2 linked regions of the Oryza sativa Japonica Group genome follow. The protein of the gene in region 2 interacts with the protein of the main gene of each other region in a pairwise test. Links are inferred from orthologs where the notes say so. Each region holds a gene or a part of one and is shown on either strand. Other genes may lie near its edges.

What was found.
Region 1: the proteins of cell division cycle 5-like protein (region 2) and pre-mRNA-splicing factor SPF27 homolog interact in binary tests that used the Arabidopsis thaliana proteins (3 or more experiments, as listed by UniProt). The link is inferred for Oryza sativa Japonica Group from reciprocal best matches to the Arabidopsis thaliana genes CDC5 and MOS4.

The regions. Positions count from the first base shown.
Region 1 is NC_089035.1:9,024,352-9,028,835, forward strand, and holds the start of pre-mRNA-splicing factor SPF27 homolog, read left to right. Parts: upstream 1-1,525; 5' UTR 1,526-1,615; coding exon 1,616-1,864; intron 1,865-3,093; coding exon 3,094-3,269; intron 3,270-3,888; coding exon 3,889-3,972; intron 3,973-4,303; coding exon 4,304-4,373; intron 4,374-4,450; coding exon 4,451-4,484. UniProt on the Arabidopsis thaliana protein: Component of the MAC complex that probably regulates defense responses through transcriptional control and thereby is essential for plant innate immunity. Involved in mRNA splicing.
Region 2 is NC_089038.1:16,929,378-16,932,322, forward strand, and holds part of cell division cycle 5-like protein, read left to right. Parts: coding exon 1-1,505; intron 1,506-2,945. UniProt on the Arabidopsis thaliana protein: Component of the MAC complex that probably regulates defense responses through transcriptional control and thereby is essential for plant innate immunity. Possesses a sequence specific DNA sequence 'CTCAGCG' binding activity.

The sequences.
Region 1 (4,484 bases), on a different chromosome or scaffold from region 2:
CACTTCTCTCAACACATACTTAACATAATGAAACGATGTTTATTGTTGCCAATTTAAATTACATGCTCATGTACACATATAACATGATGGTTAAAGTCGCGCGAACAAGCGACATTATATGCTAGTAAAGTTGATGGATGATTTGGTTTGAAGCCAAAACTTGCATACCAAAATATTGGCATTTTAAACGGTCATTTTGGTAATGTTTGGTTTGTTACCAATCCTTGCCAATACCACATAAATATTGTCAAAATATTGGCATTGGCAAAAACTTACCTATAATTTGGCATCGCCAATAGTTTGGCATAGTTACAAACCAAACAAGACCTGAAACTTTTGTTCATTGTAGCCTACCCATCTTAAAATTACTATTAGGAAAAATTGAAATATATAGTAAAAATTTGAAATTACCAAGTAAACGCTACCGGAGGGAGTATGTTTCTTTTTTTTAAAAAAAAAAAGAAAAAAAGGAAATCTCCGCCAGAACGCCACCCGGCATCGTCTGGACTCTGGATCCTCCTGGATCCATGCTAGAGGCCTAGAGCCATAGATTACTGATTTATTGTACATACTTTCAACATGGCAGATGTTCTTCTCGAATGGCTCTCGGCGTTTTGTTAACACAAAGGGGCGTAATGTGTCATGTCGAGTTGTCAACGAAGATGGTAGAGGGATTCCATCAGGCTGAGCGCAGATCGGAATCTATCTATGAGTATAAATGATAATGATGTGGATACAGTTAATTACTAATGACGTGGACACGCTTTAAGATGCTCTAGTCTCTTTCACAGGTCAAATCTCGTGTTCAATAGTACTATAGGAGTAGCAGCCAAGGAGCAGTTTAGTTAGTATTATGTACTCCTCCGTCTTAAAAAAAATTCAACCTAGGACTTTGATGCGACATAATATAGTACAACGAATTTGAAGAAACCTAACTCCTCTTTTTTTTCATCCTCCTTTTTTTTCTCTTCCAAATTTCTCTCTCCATAAATATTTTCATTTTGAAATTATCATTGTTTAAGATGTGTAGCGGCAAGTTTGTTCTCATGCAAATGCTTTTCATCTACAGTAAAAAAAACTTTCACTAATTGAATAATCAAAATTTCAATTTTTGGTCAATGAGGTATAGCAAAATACATATGCGACGAATTATGGAATAGCCACTCGATCGATTTTGTGAGGCTATTAAAAAGTGTACGTAAAGGATTCTCCGTGTGATGACGCATGAAGCAAGTGTAATTGGGCTCAATGCTATATATGATTTCTGACTTTGTTTTGCCATTATTTTATTTATCTTGTTTCAGTTTGTCATTTAAATTGGCAGAGTTTCTACCCATCGTAAAAATTATCTTCAAACCCAACGCCATTTTTGCTAGTTATAAACTTATAAATAAAGAAAGCGCTGGCCTGCACCTGTCTGGCCCAATCGGCTGGGCTTGCACCCACTCTTGGGCCTTGGGCCAGTGGGCCGTAAGGGAAAGAGAGAGGAAGACACGAGCTTTTCTCCTCCTCTTCCTCTCCCTTCGCCCGCGGCGACAACCCTGAACCCTCCTCTCTCTCCTCCACCACCTCCCCTGCGACCAGCGGCGCGCGGCAGCGGCAGGCGGCCACCGGGATGGCGTCGTCGTCGGGGACGAGGGAGGTGCTCATGCTGGAGGCCCCGCCGGCGCCCTCCGGGGCGCCGTGGCGCGCGCCGCCGGACGCGGAGGCCGTGGACGCGCTGCCCTACATCGACGGCGACTACGGCGACCCGGCGGTGAAGCGGGAGGTGGACCGGATGGTGGAGGAGGAGATGCGGCGCGGGAGCCGCAAGCCCGCCGACTTCCTCCGCGACCTCCCCCCCGTCCCCGCCATCGGGTTCGAGGTAGATTCGCGATCTCTCATCTCCTCTCCTCTCCTTGTGGGTTCTTGGAGCAGCTCTAGTTCAGCGTCGGGGTCGTTGCGTTCAACTATCTTTTCAGGCGAAAAAAAATAGAACTGTATCTTTTCTTTCGAATGTGATTCGCGTTAGGGTTATAGCTACTTGTAAGAATGAAACGGGTTAGAGGCTGGGGGGTGTATAGGGTTAGTAGTTGTGTACTCGAAAGTGAGAGCACATTGCTAAATACTGTACATTATCCTCCTTTAGAACTGTGCTTATAACTATGTTTTGGTGGCGGAATTTTGGATTATAGTTGAGCTAATTAACTGAGTATATGTGGCTTGCTTGGATTTGTATAGAACTTTTTTTTTTGTAAAGCTTAATGTTTTGCTCTGCTATAATGTCTGTATGTTAACGTTGATCCTGAAAAGAACAAGAGAGTATTTTTTTCTGTTGCCACATGCTTCAATTGATTAGCTCGTATGGAGGACAGATGCCTGATGGTCCGTGCCTTCAAATTTTCTGAAATAATAATAATTGATAGTTTTGACTAGATCCACCCTGCTGCAAACAGAAAAGCAACATATTTTGGCTGCAAATATTTAACTTTTTTACTTAGCAACATTTCTTGACCACCAAATGAACCTATTGATTTGATCGGTTACTTGAAATTAAGTATACAATTTGAGGCACCAAGAACTGAAATATAAGCTCTTTTCCATGTTCTGTGTGCATTGAGCTAAACCGACAGGCAATTTGAACCTGTGGCAGTCAATAATATGACCTAAGGTATCAAAAGTGCACACGGCAGTCAATGAAGAATAGTTATTATAAGAAAAAAGAACTAAATTGAATGGGCATTCACGCTTTGATGATTTCATCTAAATAATTCTTATGAGATGTACCAGTCTAGGTGTTTGCATCATATTAACTCTGCTCCATAATAGTTGTCTTAGAGCTCAGAGAGCAAGGAAAGGGTTAATACCTTTTTTTTCACAAAGTTTGCCCTTTTGGATGATATAATCTGTGCTTATCTGTGCAATTGAGTCATATTTGAAGATACATACAGCCATTTAATTCGTTGTAGGCTTGTATTGCTTATTGAAATTATACAAAATATTTGAATCACAATTTGGGTTTCATTTTTTTAGAACTTATGCCTCATCATGTGAATATGTTTACAACCTTATGAGTTTTTATTATTTGATACTCATTTTGCACATCTGTTCTAGAATCATCCTATGCTTGCTAAAGAGTACGAGCGTGTTAGAGCTGGGAAACCTCCTGCTACCATAGAGATGTCCCGCTATGGTTTGGAGCCACCCCCAGCGAACAAGAGGAATGATGTTGCTGCATGGAGGCAGGCTCTAAGAAATGCTCAGAGCCAGCTGCACCATCAAATCATAAGGTAAGAGTAGAGAGCCACAGGGTACTGAACTAATGAAATTTACCATCAAAGGTGCAGTATCGTTGAACGTTGTGCATTTGATTGTGATAGGATCACAGGGACCAGTGTCTTCCTGTGGCATGTCCTTTTGATAATTTTTCATTACCATAATAGCTTTTAAGCTTTCCCTGGTGTGGAAAACATAGACTTCGAGAATAGTATCAGAGTAGATAGGATGGGCTGCTTGACAAAGGTTTCTGCAGTCTGTTTAAAATAACAAGCAGTATTATTTTGATAAAAGAGCATGTTTTTTGGATACACTGACAATTTGTAAATTGGAGGATTGTATAATGCTCATAGCAGAAGACTTTTCCTTGTACTTTACTAAATGTATCTTGGGTAAATTAAGATATTTGATCATGTATTGCCTAATATCAGCTTCAACAGTTTACTTGACAATGGGAGCTCCTAGGTTAGTTATGATTGAACATGTAAAGCTTCGATCATGTTACTTCAGAATTCGACTGCTGTACGCACTGTGTAGGATATACTGCTTTTTTCTGACCATGGTTTCTTATCATCTATGGAGTCAGCATACTTCTATGCTATTATTAGTTTTGAAATAAAGTTAATATTGCAGGATAGAGAATCTGGAGCTTATGCTGAAGTATGGTGTTGAGGTTTGGAAGCTTCAGAATAGACAAATGGAATCAGTTTTGTCTAGGTAGGCTATTGTGACATAAGTTTATTATCTTTGAATTTGGAGCTACGTATCCTGTGTTATTCATGAGATTCATTTAGAGCCATTTCAGTACTCCTGTTTGTAGACTCTGGTCTCATATGTTGATAGTGTAGCTTAGCTGTTTAAACTTCCAGTAAAGCACTTATTTTGATATTTGAAGCACTTATTTCGACATTCTTGTAAGTCTCAATGCTACTTATCACTGTAACAATATGGATGGTAGATTATTTTTATGCCTGATTGCATGGTATCTAAGATGTCGAATATAGCATTTATCATTCTAGCAGCATATGATGGGTTGATCTCTTTATAGGATGCAAAAGATGGCTGTCGAATACAATGAGAAGATAGAAACTGTCAACCGCGAGAGGAAATTTCACCAGGTAATTATATTACTCCTGCTCTTGTTCTTAACCACGGCATATTTCACAGCCAAGCTGATCATTTGTGTTTTGATCAGCAAAACACTGGTGGTCAACTCCATGCCTTGACGA
Region 2 (2,945 bases):
AGTCAAAACCTGCACGTCCTGATCCTGTTGATATGGATGAAGATGAAAAGGAGATGCTTTCTGAGGCAAGGGCTCGCTTAGCTAACACCAGGGGTAAAAAGGCAAAGCGGAAGGCAAGAGAGAAACAACTTGAAGAGGCAAGGCGACTTGCCTCACTGCAGAAAAGGAGAGAATTAAAGGCGGCTGGTATTGATACACGGCAGAGGAAGAGAAAGAGAAAGGGTATCGATTATAATGCTGAGATTCCTTTTGAAAAGAGGCCGCCTCCAGGTTTTTATGATACTGTTGGTGAGGACAGGCCACTTGAGCATGTACAGTTCCCAACCACTATTGAGGAGCTTGAAGGTAAGAGAAGAGTAGACATAGAGGCACAATTAAGAAAACAAGACATTGCCAGGAACAAGATTCTCCAGAGGCAGGATGCTCCTGCTGCAATTATGCAGGCAAATAGACTCAACGATCCAGAAGCTGTCACAAAGAGGTCCAAATTAATGCTTCCACCACCCCAAATCTCTGATCATGAGCTAGAAGAGATAGCAAAGATGGGTAATGCTGGTGATCCTTCTTTAGTTGAGGAACTTGGCGAAGGTAGTACTGCCACAAGAGCATTGCTTTCTAGTTATTCCCAAACTCCAAGACTTGGAATGACACCATTGCGGACGCCACAACGAACTCCAGCTGGGAAGGGTGATGCTATTATGATGGAGGCAGAAAATCTAGCGCGTCTAAGGGAGTCTCAGACCCCTCTTTTAGGAGGGGATAACCCGGAGCTTCACCCATCAGATTTCTCTGGTGTTACACCACGTAAGAAGGAAATGCAGACTCCAAATCCAATGGCAACACCTTTGGCAAGCCCTGGCCCTGGTGCTACTCCAAGAATTGGAATGACACCCTCCAGAGATGGAAGTTCTTTTGGTTTAACTCCAAAAAGTACTCCTTTCCGAGATGAGCTTCGCATAAATGAAGAGGTGGATATGCAAGATACTGCTAAACTTGAGCTTCGTAGGCAAGCTGAATTGAGAAAAAGCCTACGATCTGGGTTTGCTTCTATTCCACAGCCTAAGAATGAGTACCAGATAGTTATGCCACCTATCACGGAGGAGGAGAAGGAAGAAGCTGAAGAGAAAATTGAGGATATGTCAGACAGGCTTGCACGAGAGAGGGCTGAGGAACAAGCAAGGCAGGAAGCCTTGCTCAGAAAGAGATCCAAAGTTTTGCAGAGGAGCTTGCCAAGGCCACCGGCAGCTTCTATAGAAATTCTCCGACAAACTCTAATTAAGGGTGGTGAAAGCAGAAGCAGGAGCACCTTCGTGCCTCCTACATCACTTGAACAAGCTGACGAACTAATAAATGAGGAGCTTCTTCGGCTCCTTGAGCATGATAATGCTAAATATCCTCTAGATGAGAAAACTCAAAAGGATAAAAAGAAAGGAAGCAAGCGCCAGGCGAATGGGACTCCTTCTGTACCTGAGATTGAAGATTTTGATGAAGACGAATTAAAAGAGGTAGGTTTTCTTCCCCTCTTATTATATTAGTATTTTAGCAATGAGACATGCCTATTTTAATCTGTTAACATCTATTTCAAGTGACTGATAGACTCTACTCATGAATGCAAATTTTGTTGGATTAGTTATAACTTGAAATCCTGTAGTAATAACTTGAAATCCTGTGTGTGCAAGATTGATCAATGTTTATCTCTCACTGAACACATATAACATGTGCCTTAAAGCATCAATCCTAAATAATTTATGACTTCATGTAGCAACTTTTGTATTCTTACTCTTTGATTCTCAAGCAGCCAAAGTTTGAATTATCCTAATGGCATCAAATGTTCTCTGGAGGATAACTTGAATTAATGCTAACTTTATATGTTATACTGGAAAGATACCATGTAGCTGTGGGATCCATAGGATCATGTGCTTAGTTTTAAGAACGTAATGTTTGATCTGATTAGCACTATAAAGATATAACCATGTGCTTGGCATTGCAGGATCATGAATCTGTTTACATGTAGTACCCTTTTGGATACTTTGTATTTTGGTCTTTGGATAGTCAGAACAAAAAACTTCATTCCATAAAAAATTGCAATGCCTTATTTACGGTGCATCCTTTGGTTATTGAATGGCTCAGCCATTGTCTCCTTGGTATCATTGTTTGATGCAGTAGATGGCTAGAACATATGAGCTCATTTCACGTACTCAGCTTTGATGGGAACATGTTTCACAATGAATTGCCCATGTCGTTAATGATTCCCATAGTGACCCCAACAAAAGATCATGTCTTGTGTGGTGAGATGTGAAATTGCATCACATCATTGTGAAAATTTAATTGACAGTATGAAATCCGTGTTATGCCATTGTGAGAATTTCATCTGCATCAACTAGCAATCACATTGATAGCAAAGGTGATCTAGCTTACATGGGGCCTTCATTGTCAGTAGAGTAATGGGGTGGCATCATTTTATATTGGAAGACAATGCACATATAAATTTCCTTAGCATATAATCTCTGGACAGGGCACAGAGAGCTGAAGGTAACGCTTTCAAGTTTCAAGCCAATCTCCCAGACAATTTAAACGGAGATATTTTGTAGAGATGGACCTAGAAGCTATATTCTCTCATCTAGTCATTTCCATACATTGTCTGTGAAGTTATTTCTGTACATAACCTGTAGATTTTCATCAAGAACCTTCCATTTCGCATCTATTTTTTGTTTCTAGTCAGTTTGGCATATGGTCTATTTTCTGGGTTTCTTGGATTCTTTTGAACAGTACTTATATTAATGCTATACACAATCCGCATGCTGTAGCCAGTATTCAATTTTCTCAGGAGTTACTCAGGTTTTAGTGTACTACATCATACGCGATATATGGTCGGTTTTTAGTTGTCTCCATGGTTAGTTTATTGTATTGATAGTAAATGTGATATTGCTTGATGCTTACCGTGA